2 linked regions of the Oryzias latipes genome follow. The protein of the gene in region 2 interacts with the protein of the main gene of each other region in a pairwise test. Links are inferred from orthologs where the notes say so. Each region holds a gene or a part of one and is shown on either strand. Other genes may lie near its edges.

Region 1 (8,316 bases), on a different chromosome or scaffold from region 2:
GGATGGATGGCTGGATGGCTGGCTGGCTGGCTGGCTGGCTGGCTGGCTGGCTGGCTGGCTGGATGGATGGATGGATGGATGGATGGATGGATGGATGGATGGATGGATGGATGGATGGATGGATGGATGGATGGATGGATGGAGGGATGGATGGAAGACAAACAGGATAATTGAGGACTGTAGGTCATACCATGGGATGCAACCAAAAATTGTTCGATACATTTTAAGCAGAATTTTTAAGAGTCTGAGTGTTTTACTGGAATACCAGTTCTTGGTAATTCCTAATAGACATTGTCAGTAATTTGTGATTTTTCGAATCACCTCATGTCCCCAATGAACTGTTGTGTCAGAAGACGTTATTAGAGTTGCCACTTCAGGCAGCCCTAAAAAAATAAATAAAGGCAAAGTTAGTTAAGAATGGCTTGAAACAAAGAAATTCCAAACTTTTAACCTAAGACGTTTTAAAGTCATCTTTTGATCGCGTTTTAAAAGTGTTCCCAGTGGTCTATTAATTATGATTGTTATTTTTGGACAAAACCCAAAAACCTGTTGTTTTCTAGGACATAGTTTCTGCAGAGCGGAAGGAGTTCATTAGGAGTTGTGGGGGGGACACCTGGAGCGGGGCAAGCCCAACCCCCACTTCCCATCACAAATCTGTTAACAGGGTGTCCTGCTATCTTACAGCTTCTCACACCCCCAATTTACTATTACCAGTGCAACAAAAATGGCAAACAATAATAGAGCTATCCAGATGTACAGTTTTGGGCCAGATGTCAACTAAAAAGAGGAAAATAAAGACGTCCATGGATCTTGTCGTCTACAAATGGCTCCATCAGAATGGTACCGGAGCAGGGTGCTTGTGGCACACCCTGCATATTTTTGACATCTCAAATACGCTCTTTTTCCAACACACTATTTTCTGCTCCTGATTCAAAAAGATTTGAATAAAAAAATACTCAGAAATGCAAATTCCTCCATTATGAGAAAAATGACACAAGAACGTGTCAAAAACACCAAAAACACACTTTTCATCAAAGCTGGTCTGCATTTGTTTAAATATTGAATTGACCAGCTGTCACTGGATAGCTTTCAGCGTTCGAAATAAGCGATTATCCTGTTGTCCGAGACAACCAGATTTCACGCAGGACAACCAAAAATGAACCTGATGGTTGTCCGTGTGACAAACTGGTCTTTTATTGAACATTTTGGTATTTTTCAACTATTTTTCAAAGTTTTTGGGAATCCAACGTCCGACTTTTTAGGATAAAACCGAGTGTACATGAACAATGTCACGTGACTTCCGAACGAACAGAGTACGCCCGAAGACGTGAGCGGCATCAGCCTCAGCAGACTGAGTCGGACATTGATGATGATGACATATCCCTTGAGGAACTTGTCTGAAATTTCTTGTCAAAAATGACAACATTGCACCTGCATGTCTTGCTTAAAAGATCGGGGATATTAGTCTTTACTGCTACTGCAGCGCACAATGTAAACATGGTATCATTTACACATGTGTTTATTTGAAATAGATGTTTTATCATATTATAACTTTTCACTACATATAAATATTACTTTATATTTAGAATGCTGTACTAGTCCCAGTCCATACAAGTGTTCTAAATTTTAAAAATACCCATTAGGTTACAGTGTTGGTTAATCTAATCAATTTTCTTATATATTATAGGGTAAGATAAAGTATTTTCATTTGACCGTGACAGTATTTGATTTACATGGCAATACTTTGTGTAACCAGATGCTTCAATATTTAGTAAAATGTTTGTTTTTAATATTTTTAGTTTTTTAAATGTCCATCATAAGAGCCAGTTGATATTAGATGTATAGAAGAAATACAGATATAAGTACTGACATCTTAGTAGGTTTTGTTGCTGTTGAATATTGGTATCGAAGGACAACCAAAAAATGGGGGAGGACAACCAAATACAACCATTTTTTCCCCCTTATTTCTGACGCTGGCTTTGATACAAATACATAAGAAAAACGCCCAAAACAAGAGCAATGAGAATTTCAGAAGGTCTGTGGCTTTAATTTTAACCCTATTCTTGAGTTCGTTTTTAGATCAGGTAACAATAAACGTGGATCGGCAAGTAGATGACGTGAAAAAGTGGGGAATCAAATGTGTAAGCACTAATAAAACCCAACAAAATAGGGTGGAGGAGCTCAGAAAGAGGCAGCGTTTTTCCCGGTGAGACATTATTGAGACAACACGGACAAAGGTCTCCTGTCCTGGTGGGCCTGTTTCGTGTCAGACGATTTGTGCGGAGAAGCTGTTAGTGCAAAAAGGTCAAGCTGTGTGAGTGATAGCTCAATGTGCTGCACTGTAAACACCCTTAATAAAACCCCTTCATCTTTTTGTTTGGTGTCTGTCAGGTAGATGTGCCCTGATTCCAATGAAATGGGGCAGATGTTAATCAGCGGGTTTCTCTAAGCAGGTGTCTGTAAAGCTTGGAGTATTGAGGCGACGAAATCTAAAACTCTTTTGAGATACATCTCTTGCCAAGTGGTTCCAAAAAAAATCTGTTAGATGAGAATTTTGGTTCAGATTTTAGTCTGTTGCCAAACGACTTTCCTCATTTTTTTGTTTGTCACAGGGTTGAATAAAAACTTGACATCAGCACAGATCTGTCAGTTGTTTGAATCCATGTTTTAAACTAAGATTTTATTGGCTATAAAATACTGGATGGGCTGACCAGGCACAGAAGCACACTGGAACAGAAACCAGGAACAAGGATCAACAAAGATAAGATCTCATGTTGAACAAAAAGCTAGTAAGAATATATGCTTGGAGGAAGACGGCTAACACAAAGCATGTGTGGAAATTGGCAAAAAGAAAATCAAGAATGAAAGAAAGCAGGAAGCAAATAAAAATAATAAACCCGAAAATGAAATATTTTCAAAATAAAATCGGAAAACGAACCATAAAGATTTCAAAAACGGAAACTGAGATTCCAAAACACAACAAATTTCAAACAAACATTTGTTGTGGTATGACAGGTTGTAATAAACTATTTTTGTTGATTAAAGTTAATCGTTTTGAGTTGATTATTGATCTGAAAACTAATTTTAAAAGTAAAATAGTAAACATGATACATTTTAAAGAGGAGCGCTCTGTGACACCACTTTCATTCATAAAACCCATCAAATCAGATACAATTTTCTCCAAGATAAATCTAGGTGCATATAAAAAGTAAAAGTTGCGATAATTGTATGTATTAATGATATGCCAGGTGTGCAGCATCTGTTTTTCAATACTGGTTTCATTGTAACATTAGCTTAACAGTTTGGAAATGTCACTTCTTTGTCCTAGCAGAAAAGACTAATGGGATTCATGAAACTGGTCCAATCCCCATCTGGCCTCTCTTTTTGGGATTTTGGCAACAGTCAAACACTCTGCTATACTTGGGACAAGAAGACTGTGTATCTGCTCTCAAAGCAGCAACTAAACGGGACAGTTCCCCTGAGAAATCAGATAAAGACTGCAGGAATATTTCTTCAAAAGGCAGGCCCTGAGCTTACATGGAGATAAGAGCAGATCGAGTATGCCAGGACATACATCCTCGAAACACAACATGTATGTTGCCTGGAAGCAGGCCAGCTCCTGAGCTTTACCAGGTCAGAAGTTCAGGGACACGCTTCACCTGAATGCATCTCTGCTGTTGTGGTCTGGGAGGCTGCTGCTCTGGGCTGCAGTAATGACTTTTAATGGCACTAATGAGCTTCCACAAAGAAGTAGACTCACAAAGGCCTGGTAGATTGAAGGGGAGGTAAACATTGACAATGAAAAATGGAGTTGGATATAGATAAGTGAAACAGAGACAGCTGGAACAAAGACGAGGACAGAAAATGTATAAGATAAACTGTTGGTAATTGTAAGATAGAGAAAACAGACAGATCTAGGATTCCTGTCAAAAAGGCATATAGTAAATGTTTTATCTGGATTACTATCTTTAAAAAGACCTTCAGGCTTTTTTTTTTACCAAGCTATTCCTTACTGCTGTGTTTTTACTGGATTCTAATCAAACCTTTTGCGATGCTCAGTGGCAGACCGTTTTAACATCTTTCTTGTTTTTATTTTTTTCTATCAACTGGTGGAGGCGAGTTATCCATGGGTGAGCTCCAGGACCCGTTCCTCGTCAGCATTCACCTCATTGCCGACCCCGGTCAAGGCAAGTTTCTGCAGCGGGCTGCTGATGCCGTGCTGTCGTGGGTTCACCCCGAGCTGCAGCTCTTCAGAGTTTCCGAACGGGCCTCTCCTTCCCAGCGGCCGCGGCAGAAGCCCCATCAGAGCGGCCCGTCTGCAGCCTATCAGCCAGCCATGGCGGTCATCCTCTTCCTCCAAGAGGCCTACGGCGGTGAAGAGCACATACTGATGCTGCACCACACTTTGCAGAGGCCACCTTGGCGTTACCACCACACTGAAAAGGTCAGCAATGGCCGCCAAATGCTGCCACTGACCCCTTGCAGTCAGGACTTTTTCACTCTTGCTCCAGGAACACCACTCTGGGCTGTGAGGCAGGTTCACTACGGCAAGGAAATCGTGAGGTTTACAATTTACTGTCTTCATGAAAACTACATGGACATGGTTCGGCTCTACAAGCTCCTGCTTCAGCGACGGGTGGCGCAGAAGAAGGAGGACTTCTGCTTCTTTGTGGTGTACTCCAACCCTGACATGGAAATCCAGCTGTCATTCAAGAGGCTCCCCCGAGGCCACAGTCCTGTGGTGCTGGAGTCAGCTGTGATGGAGGTGAGGGTACGGGACGTTGGGGAACTGGTGCCCCTGCTGCCACACCCCTGCAGCCCCATCAGTGAGGTCCGCTGGCAGACCGAAGACTATGATGGAAACAAGATCCTGTTGCAGGTATGTCTTCTGTTCTACCTATTCAAAATAACTAGTTTCCGTAAAAGAAAAGAAAAAAAACTACTTGACACTATACCTCCCAAAACATGAACTTGGAAATAGGTATTTGCTGAATTTTATTCCTTTTTTTGTCATTTAAATAAGTGTTTTCTATTAAGTTTTATTGCAGAGCATGGTGGTTACCATTCGGCAGGACAACCACTGCTTTGTGTGCCATGTTAGGGAAATGTGAGAGTAGAGGAAAGATTTAAGAATTTGACATTCAACAGATATTTCAGCAGTACTTATTTTTTATTATTTTAAAAGACCCGCATTCTCAAAACTCCACCCGTCATAATGAAAGTTAATGGAGCTTTCCTGAAGAGAACGTGGCTGTGTCCTGCTGGTTTCACTAAGTGCTGCTGGAATGCTTCAGCGTGAAAGAGCACACCCTCCTGTATGGAAACAGGCTCGCACAAAACGGCCGTTGTTGGAGGAGTATCTGTTTCAGAGGGGATGTGTGTCCGGGCGCTAGGAGATAAGTAGTTTGGAAAGTTCAAGCCGATTAGGCTGCAGTCCATTACTGGGATTGGAGAAACACTGAGAGAAACAATAAACTAATCTATCATGACAATGGACCATATGCATGATGCTTCAGTGCCACCTGGTTTAAAATGCTGTGCTCCCACCATGAATTCACTACAAAAGTTACAGCCAACATGTGATCACATAAGGCCACTGATTTACAGAAAATTTTCTGCTGAATCAATGAATTTATGTTTGTTAGATGGTAAAATAAAGCGAAAGAATTCCTAAGCATGAAGAAGGAAAGCATAGGATTGAAAACACAGCCTGCTAAATAAGAGGACTATGCTCTGTAGTACAAGTTCAAATTAGATGGAAAATAACATTATTATTTTTATTTGCAGCAGGGGTGCTCATTACGTTGATTGCGAAAGATTTGACGGTAGATCACGGGCCATCAAAGATAAATACAAAAAGAAGTACAAATATACTAATAGAAAAAAACAGCCAATCAAACATCCTCTGTTTGATTGGATTGGATTTAAAACTATTTATTTTTAGCGCCATAACAGATTTTGGGCCCATTTATGTTTTAGACGGTTTCTCCCGCTGTGATGTCATCACTCGGGAGAAGTGGTCTTTCCCTATGCCAAAAAAACGTTTTCACCCGGTACTAGGTGCATGCAAATTGTAGTGAGTTTGTTGCTAGGGAAAAATGTTTGCGTAAAGGTGCAGTAAGAAAAAAGAATTGTGAAAACAGTATGGTCTTTGCAGTCCAGCGAAACACAATTTAAGTACTATAAATAACTTTCTTCAATATCTATACCAGTTTTATCATCACTAAAGGAAAACTTTAAAGTCAGGGAGATATGCAGAGGATGTTATGAAAGAAGATGCTTTGCCATCCTTCCATTTTCTAAACCTGCTTACTCCCATTCGGAGTTGTGGGGTTGCTGGAGCCTATCCAGCTGTTTTTGAGGAACAATTTGGAATCACTTATTTACCTATAAAACATTTATTTGGACTGTGGAGGACGCTGGGTTGCCTGGAGAAAACCTCCACATAATCTAAGAGAACATTTACTCAGAAGGCACCCAGCTGGGATTTGAGCCAGGGCCTATTTCCCGAGAGGCAAGGGCGCTAACCACTACACCATCAACCTTACAGTTCTTGAACTTAGTATGTTAAGTTTTGTTGAAGACAAATTTCTGATGTAGCAACAAGATGTAAAAGCTGCTGGAATCAACACAGCTGTACTAGAAAAAAGGCTGCAAACACAAAAAGAAAGGCCTATACACTGAAAAGAAACAAAAAGTTTAAACATGTTACGGTTTCCCTAAATAAAGAAATGCATGGACTGGAAATTAGGAAAATGTTGTGATGTAAAATATAAAGATATGTACGCATCAAAAATTGATCTAGTACTTAGAGTAGGGGTGTCAAACTCATTTGGTTCGGGGGCCACATTCAATCCGTCTGATCCCAAGTGGGCCGGACCAGTAAAAGCAAAATAACAGCATTGTTTTTGTTTTTGTACTCAATTGGAATACATGCCTCAACCAACATGGTAGCCTAATCATTTATTATTACACATTCATTCACAGAGGCCAATGGATCTTAAATAAAATTAATTTCACTTAAAAAAAAAGGTCTATTCAATTTTATGCAGACTGAATATTTTACATCTGACACTGAAGCAATCACAATAATAAACTTAAGAGGGGCTACTGAAAAAAATGAAACACCTGCCTAAAATTTAAATGTCCAAACCATTAAATAATTATGCTAAATTAAACTTGCAAACATTTGTGAACATAAGAGTTTGGAGTTAACCTCTCTCTCTCTCCTGAAACTTCACCCGGCCATCACGATCAGGATTCAAATCCTGTGCAGCAACACATTTACTGTCATTCAACTGACTTAGAGTAACAGCAGTAGCGGTTGAAAACCACAGATACACAGGGGTGGACTTAGCATTAGGCAAAGGTTGAGGATCGACTGGGGTCCCCAATTATCTAGGGGCCCCGAGCTGAACATTTAATAAAAATGTCTAAAATCAATTTCACGTCCATCATTATGTCACTCCCCCCAAAAAAACCCAAATCACTGAACTGACATAAGATTTTTCAGGTAAAAGAGTTTGGTCCTCCCCCGTCCTCCTGTAGCAATGGTATCTCAGTCAGACAACTCATGCAGTAAAGATTTATTTCCATGTTTCTATAAGTTTGGCATAAGGCTCCTTTCAGATACATACAACAAAGATCTCCATAGAAAACATTGGGTAATAACTACCCCTAACGGAGCTCACAGGTGGAAGCCGGGGAGGAGGGTGGGGTGATGAACGCAGAGCTCGCAGAAATGGAAGAAGAGGGGTTGGAGTGCACCTGGAACTTAAGTAGGACGCTAAACAGGTGAGTTGATTAGACTGAACTGCCCGTGGGAAGGAGTAACCAGGTAAACGCACTGCTTGAGTTGCCTGCCTGAAATACTCCCAGGGTCGTTCATATTCCAGTCAACAGTGAGTCCAGAGATTCTCAAGTCAACAAGCAGAGGCAGTATTGCCATACTGGGTGGTTTTCAGCTAAACAAGGCGGTTTTTATTCTGACTTTGGAGGCAAAAATTGCTTTGGGTGGATGGACATAATTTGGGCGGGTTTGGGAGTTTTTAGGTCCTGCTTGAAACACATTTCAAGCACTGATGTGCGGTCTGGGGAGAGGCAGGTCCGGAGGACGGCCGGGAGGCCGAGCGGACCGGCGAGGCAGGTCCGGAGGACGGCCGGGAGGCCGAGCGGTCCGGCGAGGCAGGTCCGGTGTGGAGTCCTCCGAGGCGTCAGGCTCGGAGTCAGGCTCGGAGTCAGGCTCGGAGTCAGGCTCGGAGTCAGGCTCGGGGTCGGGCCAGCAGTCGAGCTCTGGCGGGTCGGGCCAGCAGTCGA
Region 2 (8,924 bases):
ACTTGGAGAGGAGGCTTGCGGACCGAGAAGATGAGATTCAAGAATTAAAGAGAAAACTGCACAAATGTCAGTCTGTTCTCCCCAGCGCACAACTTATTGGACCCAGGACCCGCAGGGCGCAGGGCATCTCGGCGGAACCGCAGACGCACCAGGACCTGTCAAGACAGGCGCTTCGGAGATATCCTAAATCTGACTGGTAAGAGACAGTTTCAGCAGGCGGCTCTTTGCATTTCATGTGTGTTTTCTTCCCCCTGGTTAAATGAAAATATGTTTCCAGGAAAGCTTCCAATCGATGCTGGGCTATTAGGAGTATGCTTTAGTGTGGAGATTGATGTATTGATAAAAATCGCTTTACGCTCTGTCACCCACAAACACGGCAACACTGCTCTTTTCACAATGTCCCCCTTTTTGTTGTTGAAAAAACACCTTTAAAATCGTTTTTTTTCACAAGCGGGAATCTGAGAGCTTTGCCATGAATGGACCAGCACTTTCATTCTTGAGGGCGATGACGCAGCTCCAAGACAAGCTCCAGAAAGAGCTCCTAATTGATCAGATCCATCATGACAGTCCCACAGGACACAGGCTGGAGGAAGTGCTATGCATTATTGGCTTTTAGTAGCTGGATACAGAGGACCCAAAGTGCATGTCTAGGGATATTTAATACTCCATTAGAAAAGGCTTTGCTTGACCATATGCTTCTTTCATCACCTTTTCTTTGAGCTCACACCATCTCATTTTGAGTTTCAGCAGTGCTGAAGCTCACGAGAATCCATGGAAGATATTTGATATTGTACATTTTGACTTCATATTTACTTTGTTTTTTCATGTAAAAAGTTTAACATTATGTTTTTCTTTTGCAATCATAACATTTGTCATTTTTGTTATTCAGTTGAGAACTTTTTTGTGTGTGTTTTGAGAAAGATGCCCCTCCCCACTCCATTCTTGCATTCCAAATCCCAACTTCATTCTCATCTCACCTTTGACCTCACCTTCATTCACTTTCAAGGCCCTAAATGTACTCTGGACACCAAAAAGTATTTGCGTCCACATCAGGAACTGTTTTATAGCTTTCGTAAGAACTCTTGAAGATCAGAGATTAAACCAAAAAAGGTCATACCTTGGTAACAAAGACAAGTGCACTCCCACACATATGCATGTTGGTCTTTCAAGTACTTTCCAGAAACAATGCATTCCTCAGTCCACCATGATTAATCAAACCTTCACCTTAAAACTAAGTTGATACTCCTAAAAGTGTCCTACCAAAGTCAGGAGGTGGTCTTCCCAAGTACAAAAATGCACACATTTATTTGTGCTGCTTTATTTTGTGGCTAAATCACTCTAGTTCCATCCTGGTAGTTCTAGCCTGAAACTTCCCCCCCCCCCCCCCCCCCCCCCCCCCCACACACACACACACCATATTTATCAGAGGTTTTGAGGGCAGACTCTTTGGTACTCCGTCGCTTTTCAACGCGTTAGGTGATCATATCAGAAATTGTCTGACAAGGCATATGAACAAGTACACACACTGACATGTTTGCACATAAATTGTGAGGACTTTGCACAAACTTCTTCCTGGACATTTACCTTGGTTATCATGTTTGTTGCTTAACTTAAGTTTCATATATTAAAATCAAAACCTTCCCCAAAATGTCTGTGCCAATAAAGCGTTCCAGTTTCATAAAGGATGCTAATTCCATTTGGAAGACTCTAACATGATAATAAATAGAACTATAAACATTCACTCATCCAAGCAACATTACTGTCTACACAACTGCAACAAACACTGGGGTTAATTCAGTTAGGGAGACCAGAACATTTCCGATTTTAATTCGTTGTAATATGCTGCTATTTGTAAACAGAGAAAGTTCTCGTTGTTCTTATTCCTTAATGAGAAACAAAAGGCTTATGAAACAATACATCTATCCATCTATGTTTCTGACACAACATTTGAAAAGAGAGTTGTTTCACAACCATGAACAAATAAACAGCCGTAAGAAATAACAAAATTAGTGGTTTTCCCCTAAGAATGATTCAAGTGATTGTGTGGCAGCTCTCTCATTCTTTCAGAAAAAAAAACAAGTTGAAATAATACACATTGTTTAGTCTGCACAGCTGGATGCTTCTCAGAAAAAGGTTGAATGAACCCACGGGTGTGTTTGCAAGCCCAAGGTGCCAGCCATGTCTGGAGAAAGTTGTCCACTGAAGTGGGGTCAGATTCAGTGTGATCCCTTCCCATTAGAGTGGCACCAGGCGGCGGCCGGCTCGTCTTCTCAGATTACAGCCAAAAGAAGCAGCGGATTCTGTTTCTATTGATCCGCCTAGGAAACGGGCAGAGCTGCAAGGCAAGAGAGGTGAAATCTGAAGCACTGAGGAGCTTTGAAGGACAGTGGGCTGGATTTCTGAGGTATGTAGACCCTGGATGCACCTGCAGTATCCCCAAGCAAGCTTTACTGTATTTTCATCTGTTTATTTAATAGAAAAAAAAGCATTAATATCCATTTAGAGCACATGTGTCAAACTCAAGGCCCGCGGGCCAAATGTGGCCCACCATGTTATTTTATGTGGCCCGCGAGAGCGTAAAAGTTTTTTATTTCTTAAAATAAAAACTTAAAATTGGTGTGTATTTTTTCATATCTAGGGGGAATTGGATTTAAAATATTGGAATGGGCAACTATACATTAGGACATAAACACTGTCCATATAACCTAACCTGGCAGAATCAAATTTAAAAGGATTTATGCTAAAGTAACAAGCAAACATTTGTTTTCTATCTGTTATTGTCACTTTAAAAAGTTATAATAAAGAAATAAATGAGTTATTTAACATTAAGGAGAGTAGTTAGGTTTATTTTCATTACATCTGGCCCTTTGAGGAAAACCACTATGCTGATGTGGCCCTCAGTGAAAATGAGTTTAACACCCCTGATTTAGAAGATAAACACTGTTGCTTAATTATTAAATGAGTTACTTTACACACTTTTGCAGATATATGCGCCGATTTAACAAGTCTTCCTCATCTGTAACACAAAGCACGGTTTGAAATGTTTGAATATGAACCCTCAAATCTTACTGGGAAAGCAAATCCTAAAAAACACAACCTTTTCTGAAAACTCATTATTTCAGATGATCATTTTATTCTCGTCCTGTGGTTTCCTTAAATCCGCCACACGAGGGCAGCTGTGGTCTGTTAATGGACCATCTGCCTCCAATCCCAGCTGTTTGGGAGACAGTTCTTAGCATCCAGGTTTATCCAAGAAAAATCCCCACCACCCCCTCTCCTCCTGCCCACCAGCGGTACCCGATTGCTGCTGCAAGCAGCTCCCCAATTCCATCAGATCGTCCTCGTCTACATGAGTTCGGGCGCTGTGGGGTCAGATTCCCTGAGCTTCAGATGACTCACTGGGATCAAGTGGTCAGACACCAGCGGCGCGCAGAGCGCACACACAGCACCAGATTAGATGTGGAGTCATGAGCATCTTTGGCATTTTGATACGACTAAATCTGCTTGGTGGAACTATACCTTTGCTGTAATTACCACAAAAATGTGAATATTTGCCAAGCAAAGTTTAATCATCCTGATTAATTAAGCTTTCAATTATTTATATATTTTCCAAATATCTTTCACCTTTTAAAACAAGCAATCCAACCCAAAACAAACAGTGACTCATTTGTGCGCTGAGGTTCATTTCCCATCACCTTCAACTTCATTAAGGCTGCGCTCTCCTCTGCGCGCGCAGAGGCAGCCTTGGGGCGCGTCGCTGAGGTATGAGAGCCCATGTGGCTTCCTCACTGACTTCTTTCTCAATCATGTGAGACGAGCGCAGCTCTCTGTGGAGCGGCACACTGCATTGTGGCGCGGTTCCTGCAGGCGCCCTGCTCACCAAATCGCACTCGGGGAGGCGATCCCACGCTGTCACATAACTGCGCGCGCGAGGTGGAGAAAGAGAGAGAGAGAGAGAGAGAGAGGGATGAAGACGGGGACATTAAACTTTGCGTGATTGTGCCTGTGATGCTTTCACGTTCACCGTGGAAGTCCTCCGTTTCCCGTCGTTCGCTGTCAACACAGCAGCCGCGACCTCTCAGAACTGTTCATGCCGGAGAAAGTTTCCGCGCCACTCGGAAGAGGAGCGAGGGTGAAGAAGACTAGGCAGCAAAGCGCGCGCTAAACTTCTCGGAAACGTCGGCGCTAAAACATGGGCACTTTGCGCGACCTCCAGTACGCGCTCCAGGAGAAGATCGAGGAGCTGCGCCAGAGGGACGCGCTTATTGACGAGCTGGAGCTGGAGCTCGACCAGAAAGACGAACTTATCCAGAGGTTACAGAACGAACTGGACAAGTACCGATCTGTGATCAAACCGGCAACCCAACAGGTCCACAAGCAGAATGAGCTGCACGAGCAGCAGCGCACGAAGAGGCAGGCTATTTCTGCAGAACCCACTGCGTTCGACATCCAGGATCTTAGCCACGTCACCCTGCCTTTCTACCCCAAAAGCCCACAGTAGGTGTCCACCTTTCATTTGGTCAAGTATTCACATCCATTGTCGTGTTTGCGTTCGTCCTTCAACACCTGTGGGATTCTTGTGCGTTCGTGTTGCGCAGCAGGTACTTCACCTGTAGCGCAAGGAAGAGGCGCACGCGTGCACGCACACAGACGTGCGTCTACAGACTGAGAGGCAAGACTGGGAGGAAAAAGTGAAATCAAGCTTTCAAACCAATACATTAAGTAGTGAGTGTTATCAATACTGGCAGCAAGGCAAGCAAAGGCTAATTAACAGAAATCCCCCGCGACACCACGAGACAATTAAAAGTCTATTGAGGGACTACAGGGATAATTTTGGGTTTACATGAAGATTTGCCGCCTTTGAGCGTAAAATAAGTTTTACTTTCAGCAGCTGCTGGATTGTAGTTTATTCACAAGCTTCCATGGAAACAGACCACTCACTTTGATATCTGAACCTGAAGCAAAAGGCAAAAACACACAAAATAAGTTACTATGATTTTGGACATATAGATATTTCCAATCATAAAAACATTTCTAACTCATAATGAATTCTGCGTCACTTGAAGTTTGTTATTCAGCTGACAAATGCATTTAATCTGAAGACAGTCAGGTTCAAAACCCCAAAATATACTGTATGTCACAAACAACAAAATAATACTTTATTATTATAACTTTTTTCCAAATAACCTTGACGTCTCAGACTTCCTGTCAAAGCTGAGTGATCATCTCCTAATTCCCTTTTGCTCCAAGTGTTTTACATTTGTATTTTTTTTCAAAGCTCCAGCATGTGAGGGTTTGTGACTTTGGCTCTGCTGTCTGGGTCTTGTTTGATGTCAGTTGCGTTTGATTTGCTCGGCGGTCTCCTTTTTTTTGCTTCTGTCACACCTGTGTTCTGTTAGCAACCCCCCCAGCTGCTGCTGATTATTCTCCAGATTAGTCCATGCTTTCTGTTCCCCTGCCTGCTTATTTTTGTAACCGCATGTGTCATTTATGTCAAGGTAGTAGCTTTTAGCTTTAGTTCTTCAGGCTACTTCAGTAAATCAGTGAAGATTTGGCCAACTCACCCTCTGGATCTTACATTTCCAAGAAAAAAAACCAAACACAAATATCAAATGTGTTTCCTCCTTCAGAAATAGTGATGCATTCAAATTTTTTTTTGAAAAATGTACAAATACTTAGTTATAACCATGCTAATACCATTAATAGGACTATATTTCATACATTGCCTAAAAGCTAATTTAAGCATTAGACATGACAACTTTTTTGATTATCTCAGTCCCTGTATGGAGTAACATTTTGAGTCCTAATTACTCCTCTAATAGTCATAATTGTGATCCATTTATGCACTAAACAAATTACATCAGTGGTTTCTGTACCTTTAATAGTGTTTACGTTTTTTTTTCTTCTTATTTTCATTTGAGTGAAGTTGGGTTTTTTATTTTGTGTAAAGGATTTATTCAGATCCGAAAAATGTCTAAGAGAAAATAACTTTGCTTTACTGCTTAATTATGTCATTACCCTTGTGGATAAACAACCATCTTTAATACCTTTTTTATTATGTTCTGCATGTTGGAATGCAGCCATAAAGTCTGTTCCATTTCAACAAATAGTTTTTCTTTTTGCTTCCATACAGCGCCCTTAGAACGCTCTCTTTGTATCATCTCTCTTTGTTTTGTCTCATTTTTGTGAGCCTCTCCTGTTTTTCTGCCACCCCTCTCCTCTTTTTCCTCCTTAAAGTGCATATTTTCTCCTTTTAAGGAAGGCTGAACTTGCTCTGCCTAAACTTCAGTGGATGGAAGCAAATGTCTCATTCTCGTAAAGTAGGGGAAGGCAGATGTTTTTGTAAGGGTCTTGCTGGAGGAGCTTACTCAACCTTGGCAGCGATTGGAATTGAAAGGCTTCGAGCCTCCTGGGTGTAAATATAACAGAAATGGGGTCAATGAGGCACATTTCCAGAGCACTGGGGGTCAGCTTTGGTGGGGGCGGATTTTGAACTCGATTTTGTTTGGTTGATTCGACATGTTTTCTGCTGTGTAATGTGCACAAAAAGGTCTGTTGTGGAGCATCATCTTAAAAACTGTTGCTCCCCAAAAACCAAGACTCCTTTGTTAAAGTTTATTCCCACTAAGACGAATTGGATCTAATTATTTTCTTGTTGAATAAATGACATATTTGAAAATAGATGTATGAGAAAAATGTAAAGTTACACCTTCAAGTGCTAAATTAAAAAAATATATATTTTTATGCGCAGCAGCTTTAAATTGTATAAACCCCCAGAATAACTGGATGCTTGTTTCTGAACCTTTTCATCTCCAACATTTAATGGAAATGACGTGACTTGAATCTTGGATAGACAGAGACGCTCGTCCTGTCAATGCTAAAAACTGCACACTGTTCTGCTTATTTGATTTTACTGCTGCCGTGAAAGTAAAGTATGCAAAGCTGATGCTGCAGGTCACAGGACTACAAGCCTGTAAAGAAACATGGCTTTGAGTGAGCTGCTTTTCTCAGTGTGGAATCAATGATCCATCCAAATCTTGTGGGCTGTGAAAACAATCTGCTTGTTTTAGAGGATTAAATATGATGTTTTCCAAATGAAAGACGCCTCTTCTTCTTTTTATTTCACATTTCCTGTAGTGTTTCTGTTGCCTACTAAATCTATTCTCCTTCCTTCCATTCTGTTTGGAAGTCTTAATTCTTGGGTCAATAATGGGAAGTTCTTCATTAACTTAGCTCTTATTCACAAATTGCAAAATCATGAGTTTTAAAAAAAATGATTTGTAGCATTCTTGATTTAACCCAAACTAAACGGGGGAAAAAAAAATATTAGAGCGCTGGAGTCCTTTAGATGCCGGTGATATTTATAACTGGTATTTACGCACCATGTACCAGATGTGGTGGCTGCTCCCTGTCGTATGCTGCCATCTCCTTGGTTTATTCTCAATACAGCCACGCTGTCTCTTTCCAGAAGTGGTTTTGTGACTCACAATCAAACCGAGACGCGGATTCGTGTGACCTTAAAAGTTCAACACGAGCAGAAGTGAGATTATAAAGCACCCGGTCATAAACACTCTGAAAAGGAGTTTGTTTTAAAGCAGACGCGGAGCTCGGCGCTGGAGTCTAAATAATTCTGGGCACCCCGATTCTGTTGCCTGACATTGTTTGTGCAGATATGCAGACCCTGCTGTTGGCATGCAGCTTGTGAAGACCTTTCCATAAATACCTTCCAGGTTGTTTACTCTTTGAGACTAAGGCTTGCCAAGGCATAGGAACTCACTGAAAAATGCAAGACATGCCTCACCACCAATAGTTGGAATTTGGGGTTTGTGGGTATTTTCTGTTACTGGTATGGGTTAATACTGGCACATCAACTTCATTCATTGAGCTGACACGTTGTCAAATCTAACCAAGCTTTTTAGACTGAAGAGTTGACGAACTGTTCTTCAGTCAGTCCGTCCGTCAGTCAAAAATCTATTTGATCTTTATCGTCTCTGATCATTTCTCTACATTTGAGATGATCAGACTCGCATGTGTTTTTGGGTCAACACATGTACACCTTTTAAACTCCCAGTGATGCACTTTTTACTACAAATTTCAAGAAAACCCTTCTGCCATAATATTATCTAACATTGCCAGCTTGTTGTTTCTGCGTGACAAAGCAATATCGCTGAAATGCACATTAGTTATAAAGTTCATTTTCTGTCTTTCCTGCTGGATGACTGAAGTGAACACACAACTATAGAAAAGCCTGAATGACTTTGCTGTCTGAAGGAGAAATTGGCTTTCAGAGGTGCCCCCTGAATGGCAACAATCTGCTTCCTTTAGGCCTGTATTTTCTTATTCACCAACTTCTTTCAGCAACTGAAGGGAAGGAAAAAGGCTTCACCTTGAGGTGTTCAAAAGGAGGACATGTTTTTTTTTTTCATGTATTAATTCCTAATGTTCCTGTTCTCTTTCATTCAAACTTCTATAATTGCCAACAAGTTTTACATTTTTTCATCCTAAATGAGAACAATTTGCATTGGTTTACTCTTTCTCCAGGTCCAAAGACCTGATCAAGGAGGCCATCTTGGATAATGACTTCATGAAGAACCTGGAGTTGTCACAGATTCAGGAGATCGTGGACTGCATGTACCCTGTGGAGTATGGAAAGGACAGCTGTATCATAAAGGAAGGCGATGTGGGCTCATTGGTGTACGTCATGGAAGGTAAAAAGCACACAGCATGAGGAGACTCAGATCATTACAAACAATCACCACTAAGAACACCAAATCGAAAAAAAAAAAAGTGGTCTCTAGCATCTTGCGGACTCCATGTCTCTTCAAAGGGACCAGCACGGAAATCACAGATGTCAAATTAAAGGGCATTATTGATAAGATTCTGCGGGAAGATGGATGCTTTTTGAAGCTATATGATCCAACCAT

What was found.
Region 1: the proteins of prkg1 (region 2) and protein FAM124A interact in binary tests that used the Homo sapiens proteins (3 or more experiments, as listed by UniProt). The two-hybrid records come from large-scale screens. The link is inferred for Oryzias latipes from reciprocal best matches to the Homo sapiens genes PRKG1 and FAM124A.

What each region holds. Positions count from the first base shown.
Region 1 is NC_019879.2:5,052,536-5,060,851, forward strand, and holds part of protein FAM124A, read left to right. Parts: intron 1-4,109; coding exon 4,110-4,879; intron 4,880-8,316.
Region 2 is NC_019873.2:20,152,675-20,161,598, forward strand, and holds the start of prkg1 (cGMP-dependent protein kinase 1), read left to right. Parts: upstream 1-3,646; 5' UTR 3,647-4,192; coding exon 4,193-4,497; intron 4,498-8,541; coding exon 8,542-8,708; intron 8,709-8,924. UniProt on the Homo sapiens protein: Serine/threonine protein kinase that acts as a key mediator of the nitric oxide (NO)/cGMP signaling pathway. GMP binding activates PRKG1, which phosphorylates serines and threonines on many cellular proteins.